Linked DNA regions of Cricetulus griseus. The protein of the gene in region 1 interacts with the protein of each later gene in a biochemical or structural test. Links are inferred from orthologs where the notes say so. Each region holds a gene or a part of one and is shown on either strand. Other genes may lie near its edges.

Region 1 (5,270 bases):
TGGTGTAAGGATGCCAGATCCCCTGGAACTGGAGTTACAGACAGGTATGAGCTGCCATGTGGGTGCTGGGAACAGAACCCGGGTCCTCTAGAAGAACAGCCAGTGCTCTTAACCACTGAGCCATCTCTCCAGCCACTTACATGTCTATTTCAAAGCCAACCTGAGCTATATGAGACCTTATCTCATCAAAACAAAATTACACACACAGAGCCAGAGCCAGAGTAGTTGTTCATGTCTGTAGAAACAGCATTTAGAAAGCTAAGGCCCTTCAACTATACTGTCTCAAATATGATTTCAGAGTTTAGTGTTTGGGAACATAGCACAGGAATTGAACGAAGAAAACACTGACTCCAATCCCTGGCTTCAAAAACCAATTTTATTTTTTTAAAAGACTTATCATGTACATAGTGTTTTGCCTGTGAGTATGTCTGCAGGCCAGAAGAGGGCACCAGATTTCATTACAGATACTTGTGAGCCACCATGTGGTTGCTGGGAATTGAACTCAGGATCTTTGGAAGCCAAGGCAGTATTAACCACTGAGCCCCACCAATCTTACTTTATTTTGAGACAGGATTTCTCTGGGTAGCCTTGGTTATCCTGGAACTAGCTCTGTAGACAAAGCAGGCCTCAAAGTCACAGAGATCATGATGCCTGCTTCTGCCTATCCCGTGCTGGGATTAAAGGTGTGAGCCATTGCCACCTGGCTAAAAAACAATTTTAAAACAGCTCTAGATTTTAGAGTTTCTCACAGATGGGTACATGGTCTTTTATTCCCCAAATGGTGGGAGACAACAAAGGAGTTGGAGCCCACAACACAACGAATGCCAAATCTACCTGTCTACCTAGATTTCTGTGGGCACAGACCACTTGGGAAATGCCCATAAGGGCAAGAGTAGCTCTAAGAAAGCTGCATTAGAAATAAAAAGGAATGTGACACCAATGATGAGTTGCATGTTTGCAGAGGGACACAAGACGTTCTCGGGCAACATGGTGGTCTGAAGTGGTGTTGGTGACCGCCCTTGTACACGCTCACCGTTTTGTCTGTTCATATGCACAATTACATACATATGTAACACAATACAGAATCTTAGTGTTAAGAGCCTTTTAAGATCAGGCACCCTGTTGGGCCGTAGTGGTGCACGCCTTTAATCTCAGAATCCCAGCACTTGGGAGACAGAGGCAGGCAGATCTGTGTAAGTTCGAGGTCAGCCTGGTCTACAGAGAGAAACCCTGTCTCGAAAAAAAACAAAACAACAGAGTTTCCAATAACTCCTTGCTGCTTTTAATATTCCCAGGGAGGTTTGCAAGTTGGAAGAGGGGAGGGCATTACGTTGCCACTCTTCCCATACAGTGACTGAGTATATTAATCCTGCTGTCCATCTTTTAGCCCTAGTTTCCTTCTTGGATAGGAATCGTACTCCCTGTTTCATAAGGGGCCACACTTGCCTACATTAGATACCCTCATCATTACTTCAGAGGGCGAATGGCTGAGACACCAAAACAAAAACATCACATACCAACTGGAAAGGAGCCCTTAGTAAAATTTTTGTTGAATGAATGAGTAAAACGAAGGCACAGTATACGAATGCTCCTTCCCCATGGCGCTGGAGTGAAAAATGTGACAGTCCCATCTCTGGTACCAGGATCTCCCACTAGCACCCGGACCTCCCCGCCCACGTCCAGACAAGGAGTGAGACGGAGAGATGCGCACAGGCTCGGCCTTGAGCCCAGAGTTGAGAGCCGGCTGGCCCGGTTGCCATGGCACCGCCTGGTGCTCCACCCTCCCTCGCCCCCACACACCCCCTCGGCAGTCAGGGACTGGCGGCGGGTCACGTGGTAGGCGGCGTAGCCACGCCTCTGCTTCCCAGCGCAGAGCTGAGGGGTCACGTGGGATAGCAACAGGTCACGTGCCCGAGCGAGTTTCGCCCCCCCCATCCCAGGTCATCCACTGCGCATGCATGGATGGATGGATGGATGGATGGAGACCACGTGTCCGCCGCGAACGTCCGGCGTTCGCCCCCCCCCCCCGGTTTCCGCGCGCCTCCCTGGCTGCTGGTCACATGGGGAGGGTGGGGGTGAGGGGGGCCTCTCTAGCTCGCGGCCCGTGTCTATGGTCTGGCCCGTAGCGTCCAGCTGCCCGGGACCGATCCCCGGTGTATGGCGCCGCAGGAACCGGCTCCCGGGCCCAGATAAAGGGCCACCTCCGCAGCTCTTGGCCGGGCGAGAGGTGAGTGCAGCCGCTTGCAGGGATGGGGCCCGGCGCCCCGCCACCACCCTATGGATCCCCTCGTTGTGGAAGGATGGCCCAAGGGCGGGAAGCGGGGCCTTTGTGGTCGCGGCCAGCGTGTGATTTTAGGGAATAAAGTGTGCAACCTTCGATGCCAACGCCGTGCATTGTGATGGTCTTCTTTGTGCCCGGTGCGATGTCCCGTTCTCCCCCCTCCTCCTCCCCGGGAGGAATGCATTCTTTTTCGCCCCTCCGGGACATCACGTGGCTGGAGGGCTCGGTGGGAGAGTCTTTTGTGTTACCTGAGGCGCGGCACTCTGGCAGCGTGGAGGGAGGGGATGGGCGGCTGTGTCGGTGCGGTCGTGGGCAGGAATTCCTTTGTTACTGCTGGGTCATCCCCCCTCCTAGCTGTGAAGGAAAGGAGGGCTTGGTTTTAGAAGCCTCTGTGATTGTAGGAGATCTCCCTGCTCCGAGAATGGCTACCTCCCGCTATGAACCGGTGGCTGAAATCGGTGTTGGTGCCTATGGGACGGTATACAAGGCCCGAGATCCCCACAGTGGCCACTTTGTGGCCCTCAAGAGTGTGCGAGTTCCCAACGGAGGGGGAGCTGGAGGGGGCCTTCCCATCAGCACTGTACGCGAGGTGGCCTTACTGAGGCGGTTGGAGGCCTTCGAGCACCCCAATGTTGTACGGTGAGGAGGTTGGATTGGGAGTGGGGAGGAAAGAATGGGATCTGTAAGCCAGGGGTGTGGTCGTCGGGAGTGGGACCCTAGGACTCCAGAGGCCACGTTGGAACAAAGGACATTGACCGGCTGGCGACTGTTTATTTTTGTCAGGCTAATGGATGTCTGTGCTACCTCCCGAACTGATCGAGACATCAAGGTCACTCTCGTGTTTGAGCATATAGATCAGGATCTGAGGACATACCTGGATAAAGCACCCCCACCAGGCTTGCCAGTTGAGACCATCAAGGTGAGCGGGCTGCTCGGTGAGAGGTGGATCCGGGTCTTTGTAGTAGGGACTCTTGGGGTTTTTGAGCGTGTTACATGGTGTCCGGGGCTTTCTCCTTCAAAACCAGGACCTGATGCGACAGTTTCTAAGCGGCCTGGATTTTCTTCATGCAAATTGCATTGTTCACCGAGACCTGAAACCGGAGAACATTCTGGTGACTAGTAATGGGACAGTCAAGCTGGCTGACTTTGGCCTGGCCAGAATCTACAGCTACCAGATGGCCCTCACACCTGTGGTGAGTGGAAAGATGGCAGCCCCAATGGGATTCGGCTTTAGGTAGTACTTGATTTCCCGTAGCAGCTGAGGTGTGTTGTGCTTGACGTTCTCAAAGCCCAGCAGCTATGAGCCATGAAAAGGACTCTCACTCGTTTCTCCTCTTCTGTTTAGGTTGTTACACTCTGGTACCGTGCTCCTGAAGTTCTTCTGCAGTCTACATACGCAACACCCGTGGACATGTGGAGCGTTGGCTGTATCTTTGCAGAGATGTTTCGTCGAAAGTACGGGGCTTGAAACTTTTGTTTTTTAAGACAGGGTAGCCCTGGCTGTCCTGTGACTCCCTCGGAGATCCGCCTGCCGCCACCACCTGGCTCAGGGTGTGGAACTCTTAGGTCCCTTCAGTTACACAAATCTTTTGATGTTACTTATGGTGTTAGAGGTTGAAATCAGAACTGCACATACACTGGGCAAATGCTCTATACCACTAAACTACACTCCCCGCCCCTGGGTCTTTTTACAAGACATACCCGTTCTTGACCATTTTTGTGCATATGGCACTGGACGCCCCAACCTAGGCTCTTGTATTTATCAGGCGCGTGCCCTGCCACCCAGCTATAGTCCCAACCTATCCTGTTTATGTTCACCAACTTGCCTAAAACCAGAAACGATGCAGGCAAATTTCCTGAAATGTCTAGGAATTAGGAACTTTGTGTTCCCTTATTCTCCGTCCTCTCTAATCTCAGCCACTTTGATTATCATTCCCTTATTTCTGAAATAATATATACTTGGAATATTTTTCTACCTTAGGCCTCTCTTCTGTGGAAACTCTGAAGCTGACCAGTTGGGCAAAATCTTTGAGTAAGTGTCCAATAAAGGGGAAAGAAATCCCCCCCCCCCTTTTTGTTTGTTTTTTTCGAGGCAGGGTTTCTCTGTGGCTTTGGAGGCTGTCCTGGAACTAGCTCTTGTAGACCAGGCTGGTCTACAAGATCTCAAACTCACAGAGATCCGCCTGCCTCTGCCTCCCAAGTGCTGGGATTAAAGGCATGAGTCACCACCGCCCGGCTAAAATTCCCCATTCTTAATTCAGTTTCTGCTCAATTCCAAATGGCAGTTGGCCCTGGAGATGGAAACTGGAAAAAGCCCCCCTGACCAGATTTGTGTTATCCCTACAGTCTCATTGGATTGCCCCCAGAAGATGACTGGCCTCGAGAGGTATCTCTTCCCCGAGGAGCCTTTTCCCCCAGAGGGCCGCGGCCTGTGCAGTCGGTGGTACCGGAGATGGAGGAATCTGGAGCACAGCTGCTGCTGGTAGTGGGCATGGGCCAGGGAGGTGGCTCTGTGATAAAGCTTTTAGGGCATAAGTGTAAGGACCTGAGTTTGAATCCCCAGAACTCGAGTAAAAGCTATGTGTCAGTGAGCTTCTATAGTGTCTCTTAATACCAAATGGGTGGTGGAGATAGAATTCCCTGGAAGCTCACAGGTCAGATAGTCTGGTTAATACAGCACTAACAAGAAACTCTCAAACAAGGCGGAAGGGAAGTACCGGCATTCCAGACTGTCCTAACCTGATTTCTATGTGAGCATTGCCTTGAACATGCAATGAACATAGAAGAAACAACACAGGGCCCAAGGCCATTGTGGAACCAAGTTCTAGTTAGTGGACAGGCTGTAGTTTTTCCTGTTGCTATGAGTGGCCAGCAGGGTAGGATGCAGGAAACACCTGCACAGCGTTTTGGGGTGGGCATCATCCCCCTCGGCTGGTTTCTGACCTTTGCCTCCCCTCATAGGAGATGCTGACTTTTAACCCACATAAGC
Region 2 (5,321 bases), on another chromosome or scaffold:
GCCTGGCTTGATTTTATTTTTTACATTTATATTTTTAGTGTGTGTGTGTGTGTGTGTGTGTGTGTGTACACATGCCACAGCACTTGTGTGGAGGTCAGAGGAGAACTTGAGGAAGTCAGTTCTCTCCTTCCTCCATGTGGGTTCTGGAGATCAAACTTAGGAAGTAGTGTTTGGCTGCAAGCACCTTTGCCCACTGGGCCACCTTGCCAGCCCTAGATTGTTTTTTGTTTTTGTTTTTTGTTTGGTTTGGTTTTTTTGAGATAAGAGTCTACTCCCAGAATCATTTTAAACAGTGCATCCTTCTGCCTCAGCTTCCTAGGTAGTAGGATTACAGTAGTCAAGCTGGCTAAGTTTCTTTTTGGCCTTTGTCCTCTCCCCTGACCAAGAATAAGAAAAAACATGTCAACTATGGAGAGTTGTTATGCTTGTACACAGCCTATCCATAATAGATACTCAACTGATGTAAGTTAAAAAACAAAACAGCTCCCATGAGCTGTTTAGTGTGTGACCTGTGAGCCACTTGAGCTATTAGCAGGCTCTAGGCTGCTTTGCTTGACACTTCAGAGTTATAACGCACAAGCTGACATTGAACTCCTGATTCTCTTGGCCTCTGTATTCTTCATGTTGGATGATAATGGTGTGCCACCATGCCCAGCAATTTCTGAGACTCCTTTTGTCCAGGCCATAAAAATGAATCTTTCATGTATATGTGTTTTGACTGAATGAATGTCTGTGCATCATATGTGTGCCTGGGGCCTAGGCACCAAAGAGGATCCCAGACCCCCTGGAACTAGAGTGAAGGACAGCTGTGAGCTGCTACGTGAGTGCTAGGAACTGAACCTGGTCCTCTTTGAGAGCAAGTGCTTCTAATAATTTATTTATTTTTATTTTATGTGCATTGTTGCATTGCTTCCATGTACGTCTGTGCGAGGGTGTCAGATCCCCTGCAGCTGGAGGAACAGACAGTTGTGAGCTGGATGCTGGAAATTGAACCCAGTCTCCAGGAAGAGCAGCCAGTGCTCTTAACCTCTGAGCCGTCTCTCCAGCCCTGAGCAAGTGCTTTTAACCAATAAGCACCTAAACATTCTACTCTACTCTTAGTAAATCATCAGGCTTTTTTTTTTTTTTTCTTCAGTGCTGTAATCAAACACAGGTGTTTAACATGACGGAATGCTAGGCAAGCACTCTTTCGCTGAACTGCATCTCCCCTGGCATCTTTAAGACTAGTTAAAGGCCAGCTGTGGAGCTTAGGGCTTTAATCCCAGCACTCTGAGGCAGAGGCAAGTGAATCTCTGTGAGCTCGAGGCCAGCCTGGTGTACAGAGGGAGTTCCAGGACAGCCAGGGCTACTCAGAGAAACCCTGTCTCAAAAAAATAAAATAAAAAAAAAAATCCCCTAATTCCAGTTACTTGAGGGGCTGAGGAAAGATGATTGCTTTGTATTCCAGGCTAAGTTGAGCAACTTGGTGAAACTGTCTCAGAAAAATACAAAACAAACAAACAAAAAATTTCGCCCTTTCTTCTTTTGAGACAGGATCTCACTCTGAAGCCCAGGCTGGCCTGGAACTCAGTCTGGCTTCAAACTCCCAGCAATGCCCCTGCTTCAGTCTTCCCACGCTGGGATTATGGTTTGTGAACAACCACACTCCGAAAGGAAACAGATTTTGAGGGCTTTAGCCTGTTGTCCAAAGTCACGCCGCTACTCCGGAGGCACTGATGTCCAGGATGTGACCCTCATGCCATTATTCCATGTCCACCTTACTCCCGTCTTTAATTAGAGCGGAGCCCGGCTGGAGACAACACTCTTAACACGGTAGCTCTCAAGAGGAAGGTCGATTTAATAAACCGCGTCCCTCTCCCAGAACTCATCCCTCTCTCCAAGCTCACAAAGTGATCCGCCTGAGCCTTAAAAAACCTCCGAAGCCCCTACCTGTCACCCCGCCCAGTAAGGAGAAATCGCTACTAGTTTCAGGGCTCCGGGAGAGCTCCCGGGCATGCGCTTTAAGGACCGCCTCCCCTCCCTTGGGGACGGCCCCCCCGCAGGCTCCGCCCACCCCCACCAATGAGAGCCGAGCCCTGGGCGGGAGGGCGGGGCCGCCACGCGAGTGGGCGGGAACTAAGGATTGTGGAGTGGCCGGAGTCGTGCGCCGGAGTCAGAGCAGCGTCTCCCGTCCCGGGCGCCGGCGGTTGCGGGAGCCGGGCGAGCCGAGCGATGCGCCTGCTGCCGCTTCCTGATTGGCTGCGTGTGGCTCCCTCTTCGTTCTGATTGGCCGCGAGTGATCTGGGTATGTAAATGAGGGGGCCCGGTGGTGGTGGGGGGGTGGGAGGAGAGAGGCGGGGGAGGGTGGGAGTACCGACGGCCCGAGGTGTTTTTAGCGTGTTCGATCCCCCGGTTGGGGAGATGTTCGCCGGGGTTGTCCGGGATCCGGGCGGGCGCCCGGGGCCTGAACGTGACGCCCGTCCGGGCCGGACTGAGTGAATCACGCCGGAGCCGGAGAAGGGGGCGGAGGCGCAGGCTCCCTGGCTCCGGCTGCGTGACTCACCCGCCCCGCCGCCGCCGCGCCGCCGCTGCCGCCGCTGCTGCGCTGCCGCCTTCCGGAAGCCAGGGAAGGCTCTGGGCGGCCCGCGGGGGTCGCGGCTCGCCGGGGCCCCGGGTCTGAGGGGCCGGAGTCCCCGGGGAAGCCCTGGCCGGGCTGCCGCTAGGGGGCGCCTGCGCCCGGGGGCGGAGTCGAGGCGGGGGCTGAATTCCTGCGGTTGCCTGCCGAGGGTCTGCGCGCAAAGGGCGAGCGGGAAGGGCGAGCCAAGACTCCGGGGTCTTGTTGGGGCTGTCTAGGCAGCGTCCCCAGGGCTGAGCCTCCCCCCCTTCCCCCCCGATCCTTTGTGTCCCCCCCCCCGCCCCCCGAGATGCCACTCCGGGGTCCCAGACTCCGGTCTCCTCGCCGCATGGAAGGAAGTGTGGATTTCTCCAAACTTGGGTACTCAGTGGCCGAGCCCCGCGGCCCCCCGGCTCTCCCCGCTAACTCCAGGGGCCGCCGCTTCCTTGTGCTTAGCAGCTCGGGCTCCCCCAAACTCCAGCCGTCAGTGCCCCGGCCGCCCCCACCCCGCTCACCCTCTCTCTCCCCGATGCTGCCCCACCGGCAGCCCGCCCGCCCGCCCCCGGCGTCAGCGAAACGTCGCCTTCGGCCCCCTGCTCGACCCTCCTGCCTCCCCGGAGGACTCTGTCCTGTCACTCTGAAAATCCAAGCCGCCTCCCCCCCCCCCGCCTGCTCCCCACCCCCACCGGGACTCCTACCGTGTCACTCTGTGCGCTTGCTCCTTGTGTGGGTTTTCTTTTTTCTTTTTTCTTTTTTTTCCCTTCCCCGGTTAAGATTTGCCTCTCTCGGTCTTCCATTGGCTCTTCCGGGAATGCCCGGCCCCTGGTTCTCCATAGCTGTCGTCTACACTGCCTACATCAGATCCGAAGTATCTCCTTTACAGAAACTGCCCAAAGTACCTCCTATCGCTATCTGTGCATTCCCTCTATTGGATTAAATAATGTTTGATGCCAAGCAGACATTCTATGCCTTGAACTGTACAAGTAGGCTGCATTTCCAGCCAAGAGGCGGCACCTACCTGTAATCCTAACCCTTGGGAGGCTGGGGCAGAAGGACTGCCTGGGATAGCCAGCCAGCCTGGACTAACTACAGTGTGAGGCCCTGTCACAAAACCTGGAGCAAAACCATCCAGGCACTGCCACACATCTTTAATCCCAGCACTCAGGAGGCAGAGGCAGGCAGATCTCTAGAGTTTTGAGGCCAGCCTGATCTATAGAGTGAGTTCCAGGACCGGCTCCAAAGCTACAGAGAAGCCCTGTCTCGAAAAACCAAAATAAATAAATAAATAAATAATAAAAAAGAGCAAAACCAAAAAGTACTTACAAATAAATACTAGTTATGGTTGTTAAGAGCTTGCTATTGCTAGTTCCAGGACAGCCTCCAAAGCCACAGAGAAACCCTGTCTCAAAACTGCACCCCACCCCCCCAAAAAAAGAGCTTGCTATTGCTACAGAGGACGCAAGAGATTCCCAGCACCCAAATGGAATGGCTTATAATTGCTGTAACTCCAGCTCCAGGGACTCCAACAGGTGGCTTCCTTGGGCATCTACACTCTCGTGCATATACACACACACACACCACAAAATTTAAAATAAAAGTAAAATTAGCCAGGCATTTGTAGCTCATGCCTTTAATCCCAGCACTCGGGAGGCAGAGGCAGGCGGATCTCTGAGTTCAAGGCCAGCCTGGTCTACAGAGTGAGTTCCAGGACAGGCTCCAAAGCAATACAGAGAAACCTTGTCTTGAAAAACCAGAAAATAAAAATAAAATAAAAGTAAAATTTGAAAGTTCTAAAGACCATGATGCAAGGGCTTTTTATTCTTTTGTTAATCTAATCCATATAGCAACTTACAATGTAGATGTTAGCTGTTTCTTAGAACTTTACTGAGCAGGCTCAGTTGGTGGAATGTTTGCTTTACATGCAGGAAGCCCTGAGTTCCATCCCCAGCATCCAGTATACCAAGCGTGGTGGCATACACCTGTAGTCCCAGCACGGGGGCTGTGGGTAAGAGATGATCATAAACTCGAGGCCAGCCTGAGTTGTGTGATCCTGTCTCATTAAAAATGAGGAAGAATTTGCTTAGAAAACCTGGACTGGGAGGTTAGTTGCCTTGTGAAGCTCACGCTGACAGCAGTTGTCAGAGCTGGGTGTGACCTGAATATTGACTTTCCCTAACTGAATGGCTCCTTCCTCCCTGCAGACAATGCTGAGCAAGGGTCTAAAGCGAAAACGGGAGGAGGAGGAGAAGAAGGAGGAGGAAGGCCTCTCGGTGGACTCCTGGTGGTTAGATCAAGGCCACCCAGCAGCCGCACAGACCCCCCCGCCCGTGGCTTCCAGTTCTCTCTTTGACCTCTCGGTGCTCAAGCTCCATCACAGCCTGCGGCAGGGTGAGCCAGACCTCCGCCACCTGGTGCTGGTGGTGAACACGCTGCGCCGTATCCAGGAGTCCATGGAACCTACAACCTCCCTGCCACCCGTGTCCATGCCACCCACAGCCCCCTCTGTGGCAGACAGCCTCCTGGCTAGCTCGGACGCTGCCCTCTCAGCCTCCATGGCCAGCCTCCTGGAAGATCTCAACCACATTGAAGACCTGAACCAGGTCCCCCAACCCCAAGCCGATGAGGGGCCTCCAGGCCGCTCAGTTGGTGGTGTCCCGCCCAACCTGGGTGCCTTGGACCTGCTAGGCCCAGCCACCGGCTGTCTGCTGGACGATGGACTGGAGGGCTT

Evidence for each region.
Region 2: the proteins of Cdk4 (region 1) and Sertad1 form a complex in vitro, tested with the Homo sapiens proteins (2 studies listed by BioGRID). The link is inferred for Cricetulus griseus from reciprocal best matches to the Homo sapiens genes CDK4 and SERTAD1.

The regions. Positions count from the first base shown.
Region 1 is NW_023276806.1:130,640,807-130,646,076, reverse strand, and holds the start of Cdk4 (cyclin-dependent kinase 4), read left to right. Parts: upstream 1-2,069; 5' UTR 2,070-2,227; intron 2,228-2,682; 5' UTR 2,683-2,702; coding exon 2,703-2,920; intron 2,921-3,064; coding exon 3,065-3,200; intron 3,201-3,306; coding exon 3,307-3,474; intron 3,475-3,626; coding exon 3,627-3,736; intron 3,737-4,262; coding exon 4,263-4,313; intron 4,314-4,627; coding exon 4,628-4,763; intron 4,764-5,242; coding exon 5,243-5,270.
Region 2 is NC_048602.1:8,435,740-8,441,060, reverse strand, and holds the start of Sertad1 (SERTA domain-containing protein 1), read left to right. Parts: upstream 1-2,150; 5' UTR 2,151-2,284; intron 2,285-2,879; exon of another isoform or gene 2,880-2,974; intron 2,975-4,308; exon of another isoform or gene 4,309-4,694; intron 4,695-4,794; 5' UTR 4,795-4,797; coding exon 4,798-5,321. UniProt on the Homo sapiens protein: Acts at E2F-responsive promoters as coregulator to integrate signals provided by PHD- and/or bromodomain-containing transcription factors. Stimulates E2F1/TFDP1 transcriptional activity.